Rhinolophus ferrumequinum: one gene and its partners. The protein of the gene in region 2 interacts with the protein of the main gene of each other region in a biochemical or structural test. Links are inferred from orthologs where the notes say so. Each region holds a gene or a part of one and is shown on either strand. Other genes may lie near its edges.

Evidence for each region.
Region 1: the proteins of PPP2R1A (region 2) and AKT1 form a complex in vitro, tested with the Homo sapiens proteins (2 studies listed by BioGRID and IntAct, with this or other methods). The link is inferred for Rhinolophus ferrumequinum from reciprocal best matches to the Homo sapiens genes PPP2R1A and AKT1.
Region 3: the proteins of PPP2R1A (region 2) and PPP2CB form a complex in vitro, tested with the Homo sapiens proteins (2 studies listed by BioGRID and IntAct). The link is inferred for Rhinolophus ferrumequinum from reciprocal best matches to the Homo sapiens genes PPP2R1A and PPP2CB.

What each region holds. Positions count from the first base shown.
Region 1 is NC_046289.1:824,152-831,436, reverse strand, and holds the start of AKT1 (RAC-alpha serine/threonine-protein kinase), read right to left. Parts: upstream 3,041-7,285; 5' UTR 2,963-3,040; intron 455-2,962; 5' UTR 363-454; coding exon 317-362; intron 1-316. UniProt on the Homo sapiens protein: AKT1 is one of 3 closely related serine/threonine-protein kinases (AKT1, AKT2 and AKT3) called the AKT kinase, and which regulate many processes including metabolism, proliferation, cell survival, growth and angiogenesis.
Region 2 is NC_046298.1:46,563,622-46,571,425, reverse strand, and holds the start of PPP2R1A (serine/threonine-protein phosphatase 2A 65 kDa regulatory subunit A alpha isoform), read right to left. Parts: upstream 3,082-7,804; 5' UTR 2,935-3,081; coding exon 2,857-2,934; intron 1-2,856. UniProt on the Homo sapiens protein: The PR65 subunit of protein phosphatase 2A serves as a scaffolding molecule to coordinate the assembly of the catalytic subunit and a variable regulatory B subunit.
Region 3 is NC_046287.1:66,956,259-66,964,182, reverse strand, and holds the start of PPP2CB (serine/threonine-protein phosphatase 2A catalytic subunit beta isoform), read right to left. Parts: upstream 3,041-7,924; 5' UTR 2,901-3,040; coding exon 2,799-2,900; intron 1-2,798.

The sequences.
Region 1 (7,285 bases), on a different chromosome or scaffold from region 2:
TTGCTGCCTTCCAGGAAAGTGGGGAGGGAGGCAGCAGCAGCTCTCCCTGCCAACCAGGCCCAGCCAGGCGGTCACTCCACCGCCAGCCAGACAGGCTACAGGCCTCGGGCCTCATGTCCCCACCCAGGGGACACACAAGGCCATGCCCTGCACACCGTGGGAGACACTGGGCCCTGGAGGCTCACCTGGGCAGGTCTGGGAGCCCAAGGGAGGCCCCTCCCATCCAGCAGGCCACCAAAGCACCTGCCACCTGAAGGAAGCCTGTGGGCCAGCTCAGGCCGCCCCGGCTCCAGGCCCCGCCCCCAGGGGCACTGACCTCTTTTGTGCAGCCAGCCCTCTTTCACGATGGCCACGTCGGTCATGCTGTGCGCTGCTGCGGGCCGAGGCGGCCCAGGCGTCACTCACGCTCCTCTCGCAGTAGGGTCTCCCGGAGCCCAGCCAGCACCCACAGCCTCTGGAAGAAGCAAAGGGAAGTGTGAGGCTGTGTCTAGCTTAGGGGCCACTCCTCCGACCTGGTGATGAGCCCAGGAGGGTCGTCCCACCTGGGGCCTCAGCCCGGGTGCACCTTCCCGTGTGGCCTGCTCCCCTCAGCCCTGAGTCACTGCCACCCCTCACTTTCTTCCCACCACGGCACCTAATAAAAGGCCCTCAGAGCTCCCTGTCCCTCTCACCTAGCCCATTCCCACTCCCCCTGGCTTTTGTACAAATCACTCCATCCCCAAAAGGCCCTCCCAGTGTACCCCAGCCTCCCTAACCAGCCAGCCCGGCAGGCAACCCCCTGCAGGCAGCCCGACTGCTTCAGGGCACACCACTCAACCTCCCCAGGCTCCTGGTGAGGGCGCCCTGTTCTCCATCCAGTCTTCCCACCCATAGGCTCCTCCTCCCTGCCCCAGACTGGGAGAGACATTCAAACAGGAAGAAGGCAGCACCAGAAGTAAGGGCGGCTGGCGTAAATGGGCAGAGCCCGCCAGGGTGACCTGAACCCCTCCCCCGGCCCCTCCTAAACCACGGTGCCCCTGCGGGCCTGAATCTGGTTCATTCATTTGGCCAGTGTAGATCAGTCACCTCTGGTTTGCCAGGCTCAGCACTGGGCACTGGTGACAAAGGGGTTCAGACGGGCCCGTCTATAAGGAGTACCCAGTCCAGGGTGGTTACAGGTCTGTAATTAGAGCATCCAAGAGGCAAACAATGGGGGGCGCTGTACACACACAGCGGTCCTGGCACCCGCCCGCAATGGCCCACCAGTGGCCCTCTCTTAAGTAGACACTTTGGCCATTCATCTTGCATGACCCTCCCCATGGCTCCCCTGCTGGATAAACTCCTACACATCCCTCAAAACCCAGTGCTCACATCACCCGTTCTGGGCATCCCAGTATTCTGCTACCCTCCAGATGGGCAATCGGAGGGCAGGCCCTAAGAGACTCCAGTCTGGGACACCCGGGCCAGGCAGGGAGCCCTGAGAACCACTGGAATGGATCCCAATATGGGTCTTCCCACAGCCACGAAGATGGTCTCCCACAGATCACCTCACCGGCCTCTTGAGGCAGGGGCTGGGCACCCAGAGAAGGTTGCTGTGCATTGATGGTCTGAGGCTAAATTTAGGAGGGTGGTTAGACCCCACTCACTGCCTGTGTGTGATGCCAGGACAGGGATGACACACTTTGCCTAAGAAAGCAAGTGCCGAAGTGCTCAGCAGGCCCATGGGCAGCAGCGGGAAGATATGAGGGTGTCAGGATTGGGCTCTGAGCCCCAGCACAGTGGGCACCGGGGGCTCTGGTGACACGGAGTGGGCGTGGCCTGGAGACAGAGGGCTGGACTCCGAGGCCTCTGGATGTCCCCCTACCCTACCCCCACCCAGGCCTGAGAAGGGCCTGCTGCTGATAGAGTCAGACAGCTGTCGACAGCCCATGTGTAAAAATACATCTGTACACACACACACACACACACACACACACACACAGCCCAACACCCGGGCTGCCTCTCTGCACAGGACTGGCAGGACCAAGGGGACCTGTGTCCTGCTGCCCGGTACTGAGTGCCTTCACCAGACACTACGCGACTGTTGTCATTACCAAAGCCACAACTTCTTAAAAAGTAGTCTGTGCTCCGAAAGGAAACCCTCCTTCTGCCTCCCAACATTGGTTTGTAAACTGTATGTTTCAGCTGGGTGGGGGGGGGCAGGGAACCAAGCTGCAGGGCCTTCACTCCCACCAGGGGCTCAGAGCAGTCAGGGGTGGCCTGGAGGCAGGCCAGGGGCCCAGGAGTGAAGGAGGAGGCCCTGTGGCCGGAGATCACAGGCCCATGCCCCCACTCTGTCCACCAGGGCAGTACTCTGAAACCAGTCCCACCCACTGAGCTCACCATCTGCCCCCACCCTCCAATCTGGGGACCAAGCCCTAGCTGCCCTCCAGACCCCAGCCTCTAGGATGGGTGGGCAGCACCTCCACAGCCCACTCAGGTCAGGAAGCAGTTTCAGGGCCCACGAGGGATAGGAGTCCTTTGTGGACTGGCCTGGGCCCCTCGCCACCAGGGACAACTTTTTGTCTATGGGAAGATGAGGTCTCCTTCCAAGAGCCCACCCACAAACTGGAAGGAGGGCTGGGGCGAGCCTTCTCCTAAGGCCCCTTAGCCTCCTGTGCTCCGGGCAGCGCTGGCCAGGCGCCCAGGGAGCGCCCGGGGAGCCCCCGACGCAGAGATGCCCCCGTCCGGGCCCGGCCGCGCCCCTCCGCCCCAGCCTGGGCCTCGCCGGCCGGCGGGCCACTTCTCCAAGGTCATGAGGGAGGCCGGGACCGGCGGCCCGCACCCGTAGCCCGCGCCCTCCCCGCCCAGGCCGCGCTCGGCCACTTCCTGCTCCCGCGCCTCCATTCCGGCCGCGCCGCCCGCGCCCCGGCCCGGCCGGCCGGGAACAAAGCGGCGGAGCGGGGAGGAAATCCGGGCCCCGGCGGCGGCGGGCGGGACTCACCGGGCGCCGCGTCCGGGCGAGCGCGGGCCTAGCCGGGCCGCGGCCTCCGGCGCCCGCCGCTCCGCATCCCCGCGGGCCGGGCCGGGGGCGGGCTGGGGCGGCGCGGGCCGGCGGCGGGCGCTGTCCGGCGGGCCTCGCGCCGCGGGCCCGGTGCTCGTGCGCGGCCGCGTATCGCGTCCTCCGGTGCCTGCTGCGCGCGCGCTGGGCCGGCCGCCGCCGCTCCGTCCCGCCGCCGCCGCCGGCCCGCCCCGTCCCCGCCCCGCGCGCCCCGCCCGGCCGCCCGCCCACATCCGCCTCCGCGGCCCTGCGCCCCCACCCGGGCTCAGAGGGCGGGGGCCGGGGCTGGGCCCGCCCGCCCAGCGCCCACTGCTCTGCCAGTCCCCGGGCACGCCCTCTCTGGCCTCAGTTTCCCGGTTTGTCCGGTGAACCGCACTTCTCGGCCTCTCTGTGCGGCGACGGGGACGAATGAGGGCTTCTGTCTCCATGGGATGGGGGTGGGATGGGATGTAGGTTAGTTTGATATCAGAATGTGCTGTGACCCAAGTGGGTAGCACCCTACTGGGTCCAGGGAGAGAGGCGCCAAGATTGTCCTGAAAGACCCAATCAGAGGTCCCTGCCCCACCGGTTCAGGAGGCTGGGGAGGGCAGGTTGGAGGTGGGCCTGGAAGGCTGGGCCATCGGGGACGTGGGGACTGATGAGGGCAAGCCAGGCCCTGGAGAGACAGGGGTTCTGAGCCCTCCCTCCTTGGCAGGGGGCTTCCAGAAACTTCCCCTCCCCCAGAAGGAAGATGCTGACACGTGGCGGCTACAAAGTGGATGGGGACTTCTTCCCACGGTGACAGAGGGAAAAGAGGGCACAGGAACCAGTGGAGGGGCATCCACCTGGCCTGGACTGCCCTCTCTGAGCTGGGAGCACATACCCAAAGCGGGAGCAGGTTTGGGTGCAGGCTCAAGAGAAGGGTCTTGACAGCAGAGGCCGCCCAAGCCCCTCCCTGTTGTCTCAGTGGGCCCTGGGCACCCACAGTCCACTGGGGGGCAGCTAAGGGACCAGAGGCAGAGGGAGTCTAGCACCCTCCTCCTACAGATTCCCAGGACACTGCAGACTGTGCTCCACCCTGGAGCCCTCCCTGGCCCTGGCCCTCCACGGGAGCCTCAGGTTCCTACAGTTGCCCCTCCCCCCAGCCCTGAGGCCTCCAAGTTGATAGTAATCCTTCTGTGAAATGAAGACCACTGTGAGCTATCTTCCTGGGGTGGTATGTTTGTTTTTGCTTTTTTTTTGGGGGGGGGGACATTTTTGTTCTTCATCCAGGGTCAGAGTTCAGCCTGAGTGTATAGACACTTTATCTGGGTCAGAAGCAGGTGCAGCCCGGCTGAACCCCCAGGACAGCGTCTACAGCGGAAACTGGGGCTCTGTCCCAGCCTCTCAGGCTGACTGAGAGAAGGATGCTTCTCAGGGAAGGACTCTCTCCCCTGCTCAGGGGACACCCGCTCCTTAGAAAGGGGCCCCAGTTCCATACATCTCCCTTTGGCCCTTGTGTCCCCACCCCAGCACAGTTGTCTCAGTTTTTACTGTGTACCCCCAGGCAGGGCCCTGCCTCCAGGGGCCAAGTGACAGACCCAGCCCGTCTGTGCTGCTTGGGCCAGATCCCTGACCTAAGGGTACCCCCAGATGTCTGACATCTCTCCATCGCTCACCCCACAAATCCTCCCATGGGTGCCTGGGGCCTCCTCTGGGACTGTCCCACCGACATACTGCTCTCCCAGGTGGGGTTTCCATACCCACACCCCATCCTGGATTCAGCAATGCTTTGGAGAAGGCAGAAGATGGGAGGAGAATGGTGAGGTGTCAGCGAGTGGCGACTGGGGGACCAGGAAGGTGCCTTCTCATGGAAGACGTGGCGACTCCCCAGGCTCCTCTCCGGCCTGCTGATCCGCATCTTGAACAGGAGGCTGCGCTGAGGTGGTCCAAAGCCCCCGTCTCCAGGGGCCTCTCCACATGCTCCGTCCGGAGCTCTGGCGCACAGTGGGTACCCGGGACCCTCTGCGAGCCCTGCACCCACCCTGTCTGTGCAGCACCCAGTCCTGTCTTGGCCTCTGTGTGAGCCTGCCCTGTGACTGGCGTATCCCTGTGGGCAGGACCAGCCCCCTCCTCCACTGGACTCCAGGAGGGAAAGCTCCTGGAGGGAGCTCCTCTCCCCAAGAACACTCCTCTCCCACCCCCCAAACAGAATGGCAAGGAGAGCACGAGCCCTGTTGGCCAGCCCTGGCCACTGCTGGAACCGCTGGGGAGCCCCTTGGCCAGATGTTTCCAACAAAAACTGCTGCACCGGCCCCAGGGAGGGCAGCTGCCTGATCCCTCCCTGAGTACAGGGGCCTCCAGCCCTGTCACCTTCTGCAGCTGCCGGCCATCGGGCAGGACTCCTGGGCCAGTGCCCCCGGCTGCCTAGTCTGGGCAGCAGCTGCAGGGCGGGGCCTCAAGGCAGCTCCCAAGCCAGATGGCCGCCTGGCTGACTGCATCCAGGGAGGCTCTGCCTGCACCACTGCGACACCTCCTGTCATCCCTGTGCCTGAGACCTTGCTGGGCCAGATAGGGGACCCAAGGGCCATGTGGTGGCCAGCTCCAGAGTGCCATTTTGGGGCTGCCTAGGACAGTCCCTTCTCGGGGTGCGGCAGGGCAGGAGGGCTTAACTCAGACCTTGTAACTGGAGAGGCACAGAGGGCCTCTCTCCCACGGTCCCCTGCCCCAGGGATGTTTCTCCTCCCTGGCCCATCCTTAACTTGCTGGCCTCCCAGGCCCAGCCCCAGGCTCTCGCCCGCAGTGTCCTCGCCTGCTTTGGTCCCTGTCTGTGCCCCACAACTTGTGTCAGGTGTCCAAGGAGTGCTTTGTCCCACCAGCCAGGCAGGGCAAGCAGGGCACGCTGCCCACCCCAGGGCCTCACGCCACCCAGAGCCCTGCCTTCGCGGGCTCAGGGGCCAAGCCTGGGGGCACAGCTGGGCAACGGGCAGCAGTCGGAATCGACTGCTGTGGCACTCAGGGCAGCAGTGGCACTCTTGTGGGTGTCCTCACAGGAGCCATGCACTCCCTTCAGACACTTACTGAAACCCCACTGGTGGCGGGACCCGTGTCACAGTATGGTCACATCACACGGGCAGGGCTGTGAAGCAGGAGAAGGCTGTGAGAGAGAAACGAGGCCTTGGGGGGGCTTAGCTGGGTGGTGATGATGGACCACTGGGGGTGCCCCGCTGGAACAGACAGCAATGGGGACGGCCGGAGGAGGGCTCTCTGGGGAGGGGCCTGAGTGGCCAGTGAATGGCCTGGGGTCTCCCTGTGCCAGGCCCTGCAGTCATTCTTCTCATTTTGCAGATGAGGATATTAAGGTTCAAGGAGATCAAGCGTCGTTATCAAGGTTGGGAGGGGGCAGGGCGGGGCTCTGAAGCCGCCAGATGGAGGGGGGGGCAATACCCTCTGGGCTCCCAGGGACCTCATTTGAATTCAGTTCCCTCTGCAGGGGGAGGGCCTGGAGGCAGGGGCGTGGCCCTCCTCAAGGGTCCCCAGATGGATGGGCCTTGGGAGCCAGGGCAGTCTCAGTGGCCAAGTACAGTGAGAGTCCAGGGTTCCGAGCGGCAGTTGCTGGATTTAGGAAATAAAAATGCAGGATGTCCAGTCAAATTTGAATATCAGACAAACAAGGAATAATTTTTTAGTGGAAGAATGTGCCTCTCCTTCCCACAGACAGCAGATCTAACTGCAGTGGCCCCAGGGCCTCTGGGGGCTCCTCAGCCCCCCACCCCATCCTACCCGCCCACAGCGCTGAACAGGACTCTGTTCTCACGGAGGGCTCGCCCTCCTCTGGGGCATCAAGGAAAATGGCTGGAGGGCTCCCTGTTCCCTCTGCCCACGGATACCTGGCCGACTGGGGTCCCATCCTTTGTGACCCAGCCCCTCCTCCAGCACCTCCCCAACCCCTACTTAAGGCCTCCTTTCCACCCCCGCTCCTGGCTGGGGCTCCTCCTCCCCTGCTCACCTTCCATTTAGGGGCTGCTGGTCAGTACCCTGGCAATTCTGGGGACTGCAGAATTCGAACCTTGGTTCAGCGACTTGCTGCCTGCAGTCACCTTACCTAAAGTGCCCCACCCATGCGGTGTGATAATTCTAGCATCTAATTAAGGGGGTTGTGAAGCTGAGCTGAGTAGTGGTCCCGCGGTATTTAGCAAAGCCTCAATGCTGCTCGTGTAAGGGCAGCCGCCTTAGGTGATGGCCCCAGGAAAGTGCTCCCCCGCCCTTGGGCGTAAGGGGCAACCTCTCCAAAATCATGTCTCTATT
Region 2 (7,804 bases):
AAACTCAGTACTTTACACATGTTCTCTATTGTATTCTTGTAACAAACTCACGAGGCAGATACCACCTTTGCGTTCATTTACAGATGGGGAAACAAAAGCAGAGAAGGGAATGAAGGCCACCTAGTGAATTCGTGACAGAGCCTAGAACTTGAACCCATGTTCTTCACCACCATCCTATCAACTTTTTTTTGGTTAAATTCTCAGAGAGCAACCTTATTTCTAAGTTTTGCTTCAGCAAGTCCCCAACTACTTTATGAAAAGGAGTTGGAGACTGTGACATCATGTTTCTAAGATGTAGACAGGGGCATGAAGTTGCAAGGTCTTAGGCAGTGGCTAGTAACTGTGTGTCTTTACGTAATTTATATCTCACTTAGTCCTCACAACAACCTGGACAGGTTTGTCTTCCATCCTTATTTTTATTTAACAAGAAAATCAAGGCCCAGAGGGTTGAGTAACTCTTAAAGTGGTCAGGCCAGGATTCGAAACCCTGGTTTGCCTCCACTCACCGCACTGCTTCTTATGTCACCTCTAGGCCTAGACTTTCCTTTGAGGACGGAGGAAGAGGCCACAAGCCAAGAAATACTGGTAGCCTCTGGAAGCTGGGAAAAGCAGGGAAGCAGGTTCTCCCCTGGAGCCTCCAGAAAGGAACATAGGTAGCCCTGCAGACACCTTAATTTTAGCCCATTGAGTCCCATGTCAGACTTCTGACTCTCAGAACTGTAAGATAATAAATCAGTATTCTTTTAAGCCACTAAATTTGCCTCAAGAGTTCCCCACAAGGGTTTCTCTCAATCTCACGGACATTTTGAGCAGACAAATCTTTGTTATGTGGGCTGTTCTGGGCATTGCAGGAGGTTTAACAGCTTTCCTAGCTTCTATCCACTAGATGCCAGTAACATTTCCCCAGTTGGGACAAGCAAAAACATCTCCAGACATTACCAAATGTCTCCTGATGGGCAAAATCACCATGGGTTGAGAACTGCCATTACCTGTCTGCTCTCTCTTCCTGGAGGGCTCTTCACCACCTTCCTGGAGCTGGCTCCTTCTTCTGGTCTCACCTTAAACTCTGTGTCCTCAGAGGGAGCCCTCTCTGATTGGCCTACTTAAAACGATCTTTCCCACCCCACTTCCTGCCTGCTGTGTACTCTGCCCAGACAGCCTCCTGGCTTCTTCCCTTGTGGCCTTCAGATCTTTGCTCAAACATCACCTCTCAGCAAGGCCTTCCTGGACCACTCTTTACAATTGCACCCCCCACCCCTCTTCATTTTTCTCTTTAGCACTTATCCTCATGGAACATACAACACATTTTACTCATTGTCTTGTTTATTATGTTTCCCCTCACTAGAGCATAAGCTCCACAAGGCCAGGAGTTTTGTGTCTTGTTCCGCTGTGTAACTGTGCCTAGAGCAGGGCCCTGCACAGAGCAGAAGCTCCAAAAATAGTTACTGACTCATTATCACAATATCCTGCCATTTCCTTCCCATCACATCTAACACGCGTTAATGTAGTCACCTGTCTCACATCTGTCTCTTGTAGGAGACATCTGTCTAGTATAAAAACTGGTGTCATCATTATATCCACAGCACCATACCTGCTATGTGGCAGGTGTTCACTGAACAGATGAGTCCGTACAACAGTCCTATGAACTAGATAATGACCTCCGTTTAAAACAAAAAGGAAACCAAGTCTTGGTGACCTTAACTAAGTGGCTCATGTCAATCAGCAAGCGGAAGAGCCAGCTGCACAACCGCAGCCTGTCTGATTCCAGAACCAGAGTGATATACCCAGACCCTCAGAGGCTGGGCCCCGGGCAAACCGGCTCAATTTTATAAAGAAGGAAATTGAGGCCCAAAGGGAGATGGGACCTCTCCAGTCACCACTCCCAAAAATTACAGCTAAGATTTATTGGGCTATTACAACACGCTAGACATGGTTCTCTTTTACTTGTATTATTAACTCGTTCAGTTCCTCCAACACCCAGCAGAGAGGCCGGAACTATTATTAGCCCACATTTTATGGAAAACAGAGGCCCAGAGCAGTGAAGTAATTTGCACAAGGTTACGCGGCGGGTGGGAAGTGGAGCTGGGGTGGGCAAACCGCAGAGTCCTAACTCTTCTCAATCCCTTGCCAGCCGGGCTCAGGGCCCTGGGCCTCCCCATCCCACTCACCAGAAATGTGTCAGCCCGTCTAGTAAACTGCCCACCCCCCAGACAATGAGAGGATCCCAGAAGCGGGGCGGGTTTCCACCTCTTAATTCACTCCTAAATTTAACGAATTCCCTCTTGGGGTGGGGTGTTTTCGCCCTCGATCCCCTTTGTCGGGGCTACACCAAATTTGGAGGGGGACGGCGGGCAGGAATTGGAAAGGAAACCTTCGCCTCTCAGTCCCCATCTGGGGTTTACCCCACAGCGCTGAGGCCCAGCCGCCGAAACCCAAAAAGGAAGAATCCTACCTGGGTCCCAATAAACCAGGTGGCCCCTCCCCCACTCGGAGCTACTCACGCGCCCTCCCCATCCCAAAGGGGCCCTTCAGGGGTCACCGCCAATCACCGAATCCCCGGTCTCCCTAACCCAGCCCGCCGGCCCCCTCGCGGACCGCGGCCTCCCAGACCCTGGGCCGCCGCGCGCACTTTGCAGGCCCGGGATCCTCGGCCTCGCTCCCGCCCTCTGGAGGGCCGACACCCAATCCCGGGCGCCGTATCACCGAGTCTGGGGACCCAGGGAGATGAGAGGTGGACGCTGATTGGCTGCCGCCCTCTTCCGCCACTCCCAGCGAACTGCGACTTTACTCCGCGAGGGCCGCTCGTGCCCCCAGGTCCCCCTTCCCGTTTCCCCAAGTCCCCCGTGGCCTCCGAACCTGAACATCCTCGTTGCGGAGCTCGTCTATGAGCACCGCGATGGGGTAAAGGGAATCGTCGCCGTCGGCCGCCGCCATCTTGGCTGCGTCCCGTTCCTGTCAGACTGCGGTTAGCACGGTGCTGACTCGGGGCTAGGGAGGGGCAGGTCCGAGAGGAGGAGGGAAGGCGAGCGTGGGGGCGACCGAGCCACTCTACAGGGGTTGCCCCACCGTCATTGGCCGCCCTACTCCCGGCCAGACCCGTGTTTCTTTGGTCCGAACAAATGAAGTCCCGCCTATTGCCCATTTGCCATTGGTGGAAGGGCCTGTCGGAGCCAAGGACGACGGAGGAAGGTAACGGAAGTACGTGGTATCTTAGCGACCAAGATTGTACCCGCCTACGTCGCCACTAACAACGGCCCAGACGAGCAGTTGTTTGTAGCCAATGAGGGACAGGATTGGACGAGGTGAAGCCTGCCCTTCTGAGAGTCCTGGAGAAAGTTTCTGCGCGTGCGTCGTAAGGAATGCATAACGTCTTGGGACCGAGGCAGTCTGCAGGTTTTCGCTTGTGAGATACCGGCCAGGTTGGCTGGAAGGCGGAATCCGTGCCATTGTGCTGGAGAAGGAGGGTGTGAGTCTTTGATTTATGCCTTATTATGCCGACGCCCCCGAAAAGGGTGGCGACTTGCCTTGATGTCTGGATTAAAAACTAAACCCTTGAGGCTGGTCTTCAAGACCCTGCGCGTCTCATTTTTGAGCCCTCCATCTCCCATCTCCCCTTGTTACATTTGCACCGACCTGGAAAATTAGAGCCGCCTGAGCACATCATACTTTTTCATTCCAACAAGACTTCGCCGAAACTGTACCTCCTACTTGGAGAGCTTTTCCTTTTCAATTGTCAGATCTTTACATCAATGTCTCTCCTTCCCTGCCTCTTCAGGCTTGGCCCTCAAGCCCCCAGATAGCCTCTGCACAGAAACAGGCTTAATCAGGAGGTTGATTCTGGCCAGACTTTCAAGAACAGGGCCTTACCATGGACGTCGAAATGATAACCCAGACGATTAGTTCAGCACTGCAATTAGTTTCAACACTTCACAGCCACCAGAGAGGGTCGTCTTTAATCTGCCAGTCTATAGTTTTCCTAGTGGCACCCTAAACAGCTAGACCACTGGCAGGAGTCCGGATATCTGAGATCTGACCAGTGAAGGGAACAACCACATCTGATTTCACTTCTGCACACCTGACACTGAAACTAAACAGCCACGGTGGCCCCAGGAGACACCATTAGGTGTCAGTTTAAACCACCAGTGAACCCAAGTCCTGCATTTAGGGGAATTGCAGAGGATTAGGGTTCCTGCTACTAGTGGCTTTGGCTGCAGTGTGGAGATTAAATGTTCCTCCAAGGTGACAGGTACCACCTATTCTTGCAAAAAAACATACATGTCACTGGGGCCAGCCTTGCTTCATTTTTGAATTTTCACTTTACGTGACACGCAGGACTTTTTAGACCCTACTTCTCTTGTGGGTAGTGAAGTCCAAGTTAACTCATTCCAAAATTGGAATATCAAGCCTGTTAAAAAGGAGAGAGCAGGGCCAAAATGGAGTCACCTGCACTAAACCCCACGTCACCAAACCAAGACTTAATAACTAATAGCAGCTTCAGCCTCTCGGAATGTAACCTTTGACCAATCAACCTGGAATTACCTGGTCAGCACTAGTGAGGTAAAATTCGTCACCTTCCATTCCACTGAGAAGGGTGGCCTTGCCTGAAACAATGCATTTTTTACTAATAGTTTCCTTTTTTCCGCCGGCTCTCTCCCTTTGAAAATCTTTGCTTTTCTGTAGCACTTTGGAGCACCTTTCTACTTGCTAGATGGGATGCTGCCCAACTCATGGACCGTTGAATAATGCCAGTTTGATCTTTAAATTTACTCGGTTGAAATTTTGTTAATGAAAAATCAAGAGAATTGCAAGATTTCTAAGAGTCACACTTCAGTTTTACGGAGAGCTCACTAATTACCACTTTCAAATGAATGTACATGTTAGTTGTCAGGATGGTCCACAAGTCATACAAGATGGGCTTCTAGGTGGAGGCTGCCTCTTTTTGACAGAGGCACTAAATGACAAAATCATCCATCACAGACACCCGTGCCGTCTTCCATATTCTACAAATCTTGTGAGGGCTAGGCTTTCTTTAGATGTTGGGGAACCAGAGTGACAGTAGTTGATTCTTCACTGCTGGAAGGACTGCGCATGGTGCATCTGCACACAGAATCCCAACGAACTGTCACCGGAAATCAGGACACTGAATTAGGTTCCTTCAGCCACCCTCACTGGCAGAGAGCTGATGGCACCGCAGACAGGGCTATGGAGACTGAGGACACTAACTAAGAGAAAGTCATTCATATAATGAAAACTCTATAACACAAGTGAGTGGACTTGATCTAAAACCTCATCTACCCTCTGGGGACAAATAAAATTAGAGTTAGATCCACTAACTCTTCTCCACCTGACCTTACCTGACTAGGAAAGTCCCCTCTGGCACTGGGATGAGGAAGCAAAGTATAACACACATAGTACCTACTATATTCTGATGTAGACACAACAAGAGGATGTTGAGTTTCTCCTAGGGGTACTGCTACAGTCTGTGTGTGTCCCCTGAAAATTCTTATGTGGAAACCTAATCCCTAAGGTCTAGTGGTATTAGGAAATGGAGCCTGTGGGAGGTGATAAGGTCATTGGCCAGATCTTTCATGGATGGGATTTGTGCCCTTGAAAAAGAACTCCCTTAGCCCCTCGGCCTTGTTAAGATACAAGGAGGGCCAGCCTGGTGGCTCAAGTGGTTGGAGTGCCATGCTCCTAATGCCAAAGTCACCAGTTCGATTTCCATGTGGGCCAGTGAGCTGCGCCCACTACAGCTAAGATTGTGAACAACGGCTCTCCCTGGAGCTGGGCCGCTGTGAGCTGCCGGAGGCCTGTGTGAGTGGCCGGCAGCCAGCGTGAGCGGCTGACTGATGACTGGTGACTGACGACCAGTGACCAACTGCATCAGCCAGGGGGAGTGCAAGGCTCATAACACCAGCATGGGCCAGGGAGCTGTGTCCTACACAACTAGACTGAGAAACAACGGCTTGAACTGGAGTGGGGGGCGGGGAGGGGGGTGGAAGAAGGGGAAAAAAAAAGATACAAGGAGAAGTCTGCCACCCAGGAGAGGGCCCTCACCAGAAAATGCTGCCCACCAACCTCAGATTCTAGCCTCCAGAAGTGAGAGATAGAAATTGTTGTTTATCAGCCACTCAGCCTGTGGAATTGTGTTACAGTAGCCCAAGCACACTGAGATAGGCCCCAGCTACCTCACCATGTCAGCTTCCCTCTGCTAAAGGGAGACGTACAAAGGCTATTCACATAGGCTTCTCACCATCCATCCTCATCACTGAGACTATCAGAAATGTAAAGAGGGTTAAGATTTTAGGCCTTTTGCAAACCACCGAGTTAGCCTGCCAATTTCAGGGATGCTGGATAAAACACAAGATGCCTGGAACTGAGACAAAAGACATTATTATTCACGACAGAACAGGCAGTAGGAGCTTCGTGTTCCCGTGTGTCCTCACTGCCCCACAAGCCCCCTGGGGCCGTGCAAAGTGGTCCAGGTGGATGCTGTACACTTAGTAGTTTTGTGTCGCACCTGGAGAACATTAAGCCTAAGAAACCCCAATCTTTTACCTGTGTTATACGTGAATCTGCCCAATGTTTGCCTCAAAAACATGCATTATCTTTATTACACTGGCCAGGAAATTCATCAGCCCTTTATCCAAGACAGATACTATTACATCTCCCAAGTCTGTTATACAAAAATCCATGCTAATCCAAAACAGAAGTTGACACAAGAGGTGAAAGAATTTGAGATGCTCACTAAGAAGTATTTTCCAATAGTGTGAACCTTTCCCCTAAAAATTTGGGAACAATTGATTGAAAAAAATACAGTTAATATTTTTTATACCAACAGTGACCTCAATTTTGTGGTGCTTGAGCATTGTTACATAATGAAGGAGACAGGAAGGACACATATTCACTGGGAGATTTCACAGGAAGGACAGATTACAGAGGGAGGTGATTGTAACCTGCATAAGCCATGAGAGGTGAGAACAAATGAAAAGAGAGAAAGTATGTCGGTTCCGAATAATCCATTGAAATTTGTTAGCTTATCAGAAAAAAAAATAATTCTCTATTCACACATACAACCAATAAATTCTGAATGGATTTCCAATCTGAGTTTTAAACCTATATATTTTTTAAATAACAGAAGAGAACATCTCTATAGTCTTACAATAGTACAATAATTCTTAAACAGAATTATAAGTATTGTGTATAAAGGAGGAAATACCAAGTTATATTAAACTGAAATCTTTCTTCTCCTGAAAAGACACACACACACACACACACACACACACACACAATGTGGGTGAATGAATCATATCAGCAGATATAGGAAACTATTACAAATCAATAAGAAAGACAATACAATAAGAGAAATAGACAAAATAAAGTAACACACATTGAAAAATGGTCTCCAGTGTCTAATTGAAATGTTTAAAGATGCTCAACTTTCATAATAATCATGGAAATCTAAATAAAACCAGTACTTGGTACTATCAAACACAACCAGAAGCCTAAAAATTAAAATAAAATTAATAGTATTGACAAGGATGTGGCCTAATTAAGAATCTCCAACACTGCTGGTGCATGTCGTAATTGGCACAGATGTTTTCCAAACTCCTTTGACACTATTTCATAGAGCTGAAGCCTAACAATGCTAGTATCACATGATCACCAACACAAATGTGTAGGTGTGTCATTGACACATATCATATATTTACATATCACGACTATTCCTAACAGTCCAAAACTGAAAACCACCCATGTGCCAGTGAATACAGAAATGATTAAAAAAATGTTTTATGGAGATCTA
Region 3 (7,924 bases), on a different chromosome or scaffold from region 2:
GTAAAGTTACTTCACACAATTACTACTAATCCCAGTACTCTGTGCTTCAGATAACAGGGATCACAAGAAATACTGAAACTATTTTTCAGGATTCCCTAGCCACTATACAGAAAACCTCTTTTGAAGTACATTCACCAGAGAGAGTCTTAACAACCCATCTATTTATTCTGCATCTTTTTCTAAAAGAAAATGGGGTGACAGATTTAAAACAAGATACAAGAGCTATTTTTTTTTTTTTTGCATTTCTTAGGTCCTTTCTTTTATACCAAATCTAATGTATAATACAACAATGTGTACATACGTTATATAATTTCCCAGCATCTCCCACAGCACGTTCAACACACTGTCACTTATGCAAGAGCCAGAATCAGACACAGATATAAGAACATAATTTGTTAAAAGCTCTTTAAGATTTTAAGCTAATTTAGTCATTTCTAAAATAAAGTATTTGACCCCACATATAAGGGAACTGGATGAACCAAACAAAAACAAACGAATTTCAACAGACAACTTTAAAGCAAAGTCGGTTAAATGGTTATTTTTAGTTTTAGTTTCTCTTCATTTAACATTCATTGAGTGCCCCAGGATTTTACACAGGTAATATCTTAATATTCACAACCAACCCAGGAGATGGGCAAGTATTATCCCTGTCTCACAGGTATGGAATAAGAGGTGCAAAGAGGCAGCAGCTATCAAGTTGTGGAACTCTGGCTGACTACTCCAGTCCCTGATACATAAACACTACACTTGTCAGGAAAAAGGAGGATGGGGCAGAGATATAAAATAGAACCAGAGATTAAGGTTAGCAGGTAAAATATGTATACATACCACAAAGGGATGCCACAGTTGCTGGAAGAGGGCTGAAAAACTAAGCAGTGCTCAGAAGAGTAGAGAGAAATACTATTACTGGACTCCATCCATTGGCAACTCCATCAAAGGGGTGGAGGACAATGATAAAGGGGGATTTTCACTTACAAACTCGTGTTTAGTGCATAAGTACAAATATTCAAAGAAAAAAGTGGGTAAGATCTAAGCTTAAATATACCTACAAGATCCTAGGGACTGGTAGTCCAAGTTATTCAGGAGCTGAAGTAAAAACTAATCTCTCTTGACAAATACAGAAAATTTCCTCACATGATTAAGACTCAAGTGTGATTGAGTAGTGATACAATATTATTCTCTAGGAATACATCTTAAAATTATTAGTCAAACGGAAAACGAATTCAACTCCCACCTTTGTCCATAATTTCAAGACTATATGTAATGTTCACAGTGAGGGTAACTGACTCAGCTAATTTCAAAACTGGGTATTTCACTTGACACTAGAGAGAGAAATATTGAGAGAGAAAGATTTAAAACATAAATTTGAAGACTCATGAAATTATAGGTTATCACACAAGAAAAACGAATATCTTCTTGAAATTATAAGCAAATAGTCTGTTTCAGAAAAGAGAAAAATACCACTTGCCTTGGCAGTTCTACCTACAGAAATAAATTCTGTTACCAAATTTTACATATTAAGGCCCTATACAACATTACACTTGTTAAAAACACTACTTTCACTTAATATTAGTTATTACTCCTCCATCCCTAAGTAAATTGCTTAATTTTGAGTCCCCTATTAACAACACTGACAAAATCTTTTGTTCTCCAATGTGTTTCTGAGGCATCCTGACTTCCAAACAAAATGATCAAGTCTAAAAATACAAACCAACCCAACAGCATTAAAGAAGAAATAATCTCCTTACTCCTTCACTGAGGAATTTTTATGTAAAAATGTGTCAAAATTATTTAGTCCAAGATTATAAAAGACGAGTGAGAAAAGCTCTAGATTTTAAAGTAACTAAGATAGAGAGTGCAAAATAATTCCAGCGGGTAAGGAAACAATAGATACAAAATTCAGAAAGTTGTCTAAGATCACACAATCAAGAATGACTGTAAACAGTTAACCACCTGCATATTTTATTACTCTTTGGCACAGGGAAAAAAAAAAACCCTTTATATATAATAGAAACGGAAAGGATTTTCTGAAAAGTGCTACCCTACACGAAAAACACGTAACCCATTTATATTTCAAGAAAGCACTGTTTCCAAACTTAAGATTTGCTGTCTTTCTGAAAATCAACATTTTGCTTCCAAGAGTCTCTCTATGGGAAGACCAGTCACCATCTGTTACAACTAAAGTCAAAGTCAACCTCTATTTTAGAAATCACAGTCTGCCATCACACCCACCTCTCTACAAATGCTTGACACATTCCAAATTAGCGATTTTTGAAAGGCCCATTCACCTGCGAAAAAAGCTCCCATTTATAACAAGTTCGTTAACATTAGCAACATCCAGGTTGGTTTTCGGTGCATTTTAAAAAAATTTTTATAAGATTTTATTGGAGCCAAACTGACAACATTGCCAAGAAGAAAGATCTCAGATGCTCCCGATGCATTTTCTGATAAGAGATGGTATTAGAATAACTGGCCGGCGTGTGGACTAGCAAGCGCCGAGATTGCTAGTCCACACGGGAAATACTGGAGTGTAACTCCCCAGAAGAATGTCAGTGACTCCCAAAAACACAGAAAGTGGATTCCAGGTGCCACGTTTCTCCTGCCCGTCTACAAGGACCCGAGGCCAGTAACGTGAGCATCCGCCGGGGAGGCAGAGGTACCCGGAGAGGCCAGCTCAACGCCCCGGATTTTGGACGGGCTGGGCCCCGCGGGTCACAGAGTGGACGGCCCGGGGAGGAGAGGGGCCGCCGCCCGCTCCAATCAGCCCCCCGCTCCCGCATTTCTCTTTTCTCTCTTACCTTTTCGCAGAGCGTCCGCACTTGGTTCTCGTTCAGCTGTTTACACTCGTTCAGCTGCTCGACCCACTGGTCCAGCTCCTTGGTGAATGCCTTGTCGTCCATGGCTGCCGGATCCCCGGCCCCGCCGCTGCCCTCCCCCCTCCCCGCCCCACCCTCGCCCGCCCCGGGCGCCGCTCCCCTCTCCCGCCGCCGCCGCCGCCAGCTCCCAGCGGGAGAAGGAGCCGGGGAGCGCGGCCGCCGGCCCCGCGCCCCGCCCAAGCCCAGCGGGCGGCTCCGGGAGCGCGGCCTCCAGGAGACCCCCGGCCGCTCTTGCCCGCCCGGCCGCGCGCCCCGGGTGTCGCTGGGAGGCGCGGGGAGGTGTGGGGGAGCGCGGCGCGGGTCTTCGGTGCAGCTCCCTCCTGACGATGGCCACCCGCCGCCGCCTCTCCCCGGCAGGCCTCTCCCGGCTCTCTGGCCCTTTCTGTCCCCTCGCTCTCTCTGTCCCCTCCCTCCGGGTTTCCGTCATCGCCTGGGCATTTCCGCCGAGAGAAAGGCGAGCAGGCAAAGGACCCGAGGAAGGCTGCTGCGCCCCCGCGTGGCTCGGCGGAGAAACGGTCCGAAAGAGCCAAAGATTCCACCGCTTTCTCCCTCTTCTTTTCTTTGTTCTTCCTCACTTCGGGTGCAGACCCAGCTCGCCTGGTTCTTTCTTCACATCGTTTTCTCTGGGAACCTTGTCCCCACCTTGGTCTCCTGCAGTGCTTTTTCAGCGCTCTGCAAAGGGATTGGGGAAGCTTGTGCCTTTCCTCAACAACACTGTCTCCCCAGAGTCTAGCACTCTCCCAACAGGCATTCAATATTTATTGAGTAAGTGAATGCTTTCTAGCCTTGTCTCTGCCATTAACTAGGTGTGGGGCCCTAACATCTCGAATCTACCCTTTCAGCATCAGAAAGATGAGATGATCGTTGTGTATTATATTTATCTGTGTCCCTTCCAGCTCCAGTATTATACACTGCGTTTGCCGCAGTGTTTATGCAATGTTCTAATAATTTGTTCATTCGCCAAGTATTTATCGAGCGACTGCTAACTGCCAGTTCCCTGGAAGAGCATATTTCCTCTTGTTGCCGCTGAACCCAAGAGGGAGGCAACATCCAGTATCAGAAGGCAAAGGTTTCAATCTTGGTTTTGCCAACTGTGTAGCTGTGTTCTTTCTTGGACAACCACCAAATCTCCCCAAGCCTCCAAGTCCTCATCTGTTAAAAGGGCTCAGTAAGGCCTACTTTTTCAGTTTGTGAAGATTAAATTTTTACAAGTGCCTATCCAATAGTACAGTATTTGAGCAATCTAATAGTTGCTTATCCCTTCTAGGCAACAGTTAGAAAAAACTTTAGAAAGGTGGATTTGAACTGAATTTTGAAACTTCTCCCTAGGCAAAACCTTGAAGTTGCCTGGAGTAGAAGACGTTCTAAGGAATTTGTTTTGTGGCAGAGGACAAATGTGTGAAAGACCACACACGTGTGGAAAGTTATAAATATGCCCATCCATAGAAATAGGTCATAGAGTGGGAAATAAGGCTGGAAGAGCTCCTGCTCTTAAGTGCCTTGTATATAGTAGCAAACCAACTAAGGACAAAAGATGAAAAGGTGATGAAATGCTACTGCAGAGAAAGGGTACCTGTATGATTGTGAGAGAAATTGCAGTCTCTGAAGAGGTTCGTCTATAAAGAACTAAAGGAGGCTGGATTTCAGCTAAGCCTGGAAAGCTCAGAATGAACATGAGTGGTATTTTCTGAGTATCTCATTTAGTCCCTTTATTACAACCCTATGAAGTAGGTGCTTTTATTATTGTTTCAATTAACCAAATGAGGATAGTGAGGTAGAGAAGATAAGTGACTGGCCCAAGGTCACTCAGACGGAGCTGGAAAATGAAGCCAGGTAGCCAGAGCCTATGCTCTTGAACCTCTCTGCTATATTGTCATCAGTCCTGTCAATAATTTTGTTTAATGCTGTTTAAAAAGGCTCGGCCCCCAGATTCCATGACTATGTTATGTATTTTATATACATATATAAGAGGAATATATAATTTACTGTAATTTTCTACTAAAATCGTGCAATACTTTTTTTGGTGATTTTTCTTATTGTGGTAAAACATAAAATTTACTATTTTATCCACTTTCAAACATGCAATTCAAGGCATCAGAGACATTCACAATGTTGAACAACTCTCATAACTATGCTTTCCAGAACTTTTTCATAATCCTAAACTCTGTGCCAATTAAGCAATAATTGTCATTCCCCTAATATACATGTACTTTCATATATTATCATAAACCTCAGAAAAGCCCTTACCCTGACACCCTAAAGAAACATTTGGTGCTTACTCTAATATTCTTGAGTTATCTAGATTATTGATTTAATTCTAATTTTCACTTTCCCATATTATACCATAGTCCATGGATTCTAAGATACCATTTTTTTCCCCTTCAGTTTAACATCTCTGAAATTGAGTCTCATCTTACAATTAATGACATCTTATATTTAATCAAATCCCCTGAAAATGAGGGTTCATAGCTGTGTTCAAGTTACTTTAATTTGGTTTCTCTCTTCCCTTCATTTCAGTGTGCGGTGATAGTATTCATTTAAGAGTTAAATTTGTTTCTGCTTGCATATAGTTTGTTACTCCCATCCTTATTAATTTAATTTTCTTGGTATGTAGAACATTATCCAAGCTTCCAACAGTAAAATTTATCCAAAAAGGTGAATGCAGGAAAATGTCATTCTTTCACTTATTCCTTTCTCCCTGTTCTCTACTCTTTGTAGGTAACCAGCTTCATTGTTTTGTTTTATTCCTGAGTTATTTTATGCAAAAACATGCATATATATTTCCCCTTCTTTCTCATGTAAAAGGTAACATATTCTAGGTCTTCTTTTGTACTCTGCTTTTCTCAGTGAAATATTTCACAGAAAACACTCATTGGTTCATAGGAATTGTCCTCATCTGTTTACAACTACATAGTCCTCCACTGGTGTACGTAACGTAGTTTACTCAGTTATAGCTAAGTGGGCCCTTAGGTAATTACCAGGACTTTGCAATTACAAATAATACATTTATATTTTTATATTATTGAAGATTTATTATCAGGATAAATTCCTGGAAGTAGGGTTACTGGGTCAGAGAGTAAAAGCGTATATGGTTTCAATAGACATTGTACAACTTAACATTCCCACAAGCAATGTATGAGAGTGTCTGTTTCCCCACAACTTCTCCAACATGGTACATGGTCAGCTTTTAAAATTGTGCCCATCTGATAGGTGAGAAATGATATCTCAGTGTATTTTTAATTTCATTTCTAGCTTGTTTTTTTTTTTTCCTTTTTCTCCAAAACCATATTACTCTGCCTGGCTTACTTGTGAATAGTCCCCTAGGTCTGTAGCAGGGATGCAACTTAATACATCTTTTGACAATTGAGCTTAAGACATTTAGAGTCTTGGTTAGCACTATATCTAGCTTATTGTCATCGTAACACTTTTTATAAAGTTAAATTTTAAGTTGCGATAGTTACATGATAATTTTTAAAATGCATGGATATAATTTATATCCTTTCATAGTTTGGTATGCAAATTAACTCCCCCCTTTTTTGGATCTCAGACACACTGGTATAATCAATCCTCTTATTCAAAGGCACATTATCAAGATGTCTGTGCAAAAATCCTTGTTTTCCCCCTTCATCCTTAATATACTATCTCATCTCTCTGGAAAAGCATCCTCCAATGTATTGGGCATATATCCTAAATTATCCATGTAAAATATATAGTATTGTGTTTCATGTGCATATATATTGGTATTGTGCTATACATTTCATTGGTTCTAACTTTTCACTAAATGGTGATCATTACGATGTTTAGTGTTTGGCTTCTAAGTAGTTCTGTTACCGATTCAAGTTTTGTGCGCCCGACACTTCACAGTCCAATAGTCATAAACGTCAGGGTTTGGAATAAGGAAAAGTTTATTGATCGAGAAGGCATTAGCTAGAAAATATGGGGACCTTAACACTTTTGCAAATCTATCTTAAAAGCATCCCAAATTCAAGGGGAGGAGGGTGGGGCAAGAGGTGGGTGAGGACTGTAGACAAGTATGCACCAACAGGGATCCAAGGAAGAGCTTGAAATCTCTAAATCTCTGTTCCCAGTAGATCCACTGACCCGTGCTGATCTGAATTTGGTCGTGAGGCTCTTGTAAATCTTTGATAAGCAGTCATTGATTGTTTTGTACATATTTCCCCACCTCTTCAGAAAGGATGGAGAGGCTCCACAGTGACAGATTATCTTACTGATGCTAGACCATAAAATTCCAGACTAGTTGATTAAGATTGCATTTCTGGAAGAGGTCAAAACTGCAATTAGATCAGGTATTAAATCTAAGTTTGGTATCATGAGGTTTTAGCATGAGTGACACCATTTTGGGCCTGTGGTTTTTTTCTTTAACACTCTGATATATAGTATTTCACTGTACGCATCTACTATATTTATTTCTCTAATGATATTATCCACCTGATTTTTTTGCTGTTCTGATGAGTGTAAAGTGGTATCTCATAATTTGCATTTCCCCTTTACAAGTTTGAACATCTCATTATACATTTGTTGACCATTTGGGCTTCCTTTTCTGTGATTTGACTATTCAAATCACAGGATGCTCAATATTCTTGTTTGTTGATTTCCAGGAGTATGTTCTATACCGTGTTTCCCCAAAAATAAGACCTAGGCAGACAATCAGCTCTAATGTATCTTTTGGAGCAAAAATTAATATAAGATGCAGTATTATATATTATATTATATATTATATTATATAAGACCCAGTCTTATAGTAAAATAATACCGGGTCTTATATTAATTTTTTTCCAAAAAACGCATTAGAGCTGATTGTCCAGCGAGGTCTTATTTTTGAGGAAATGTGAAGTGTTAATCCCAGTTTTATTTGTGGCATATAACTTCTCTCAGTCTGTCATTTCCCTGTGGAGTTCTTTGAATGAAACTTTGTCAAATCCATTTTATTTTTCTTTTTGAGCTTTTTGGGTCTTAAATCATTCTCTACTCCTAGGTCTACATTTTAGTTTTATTAGCTCTTATTATATATTTATTCACTGAAAAGT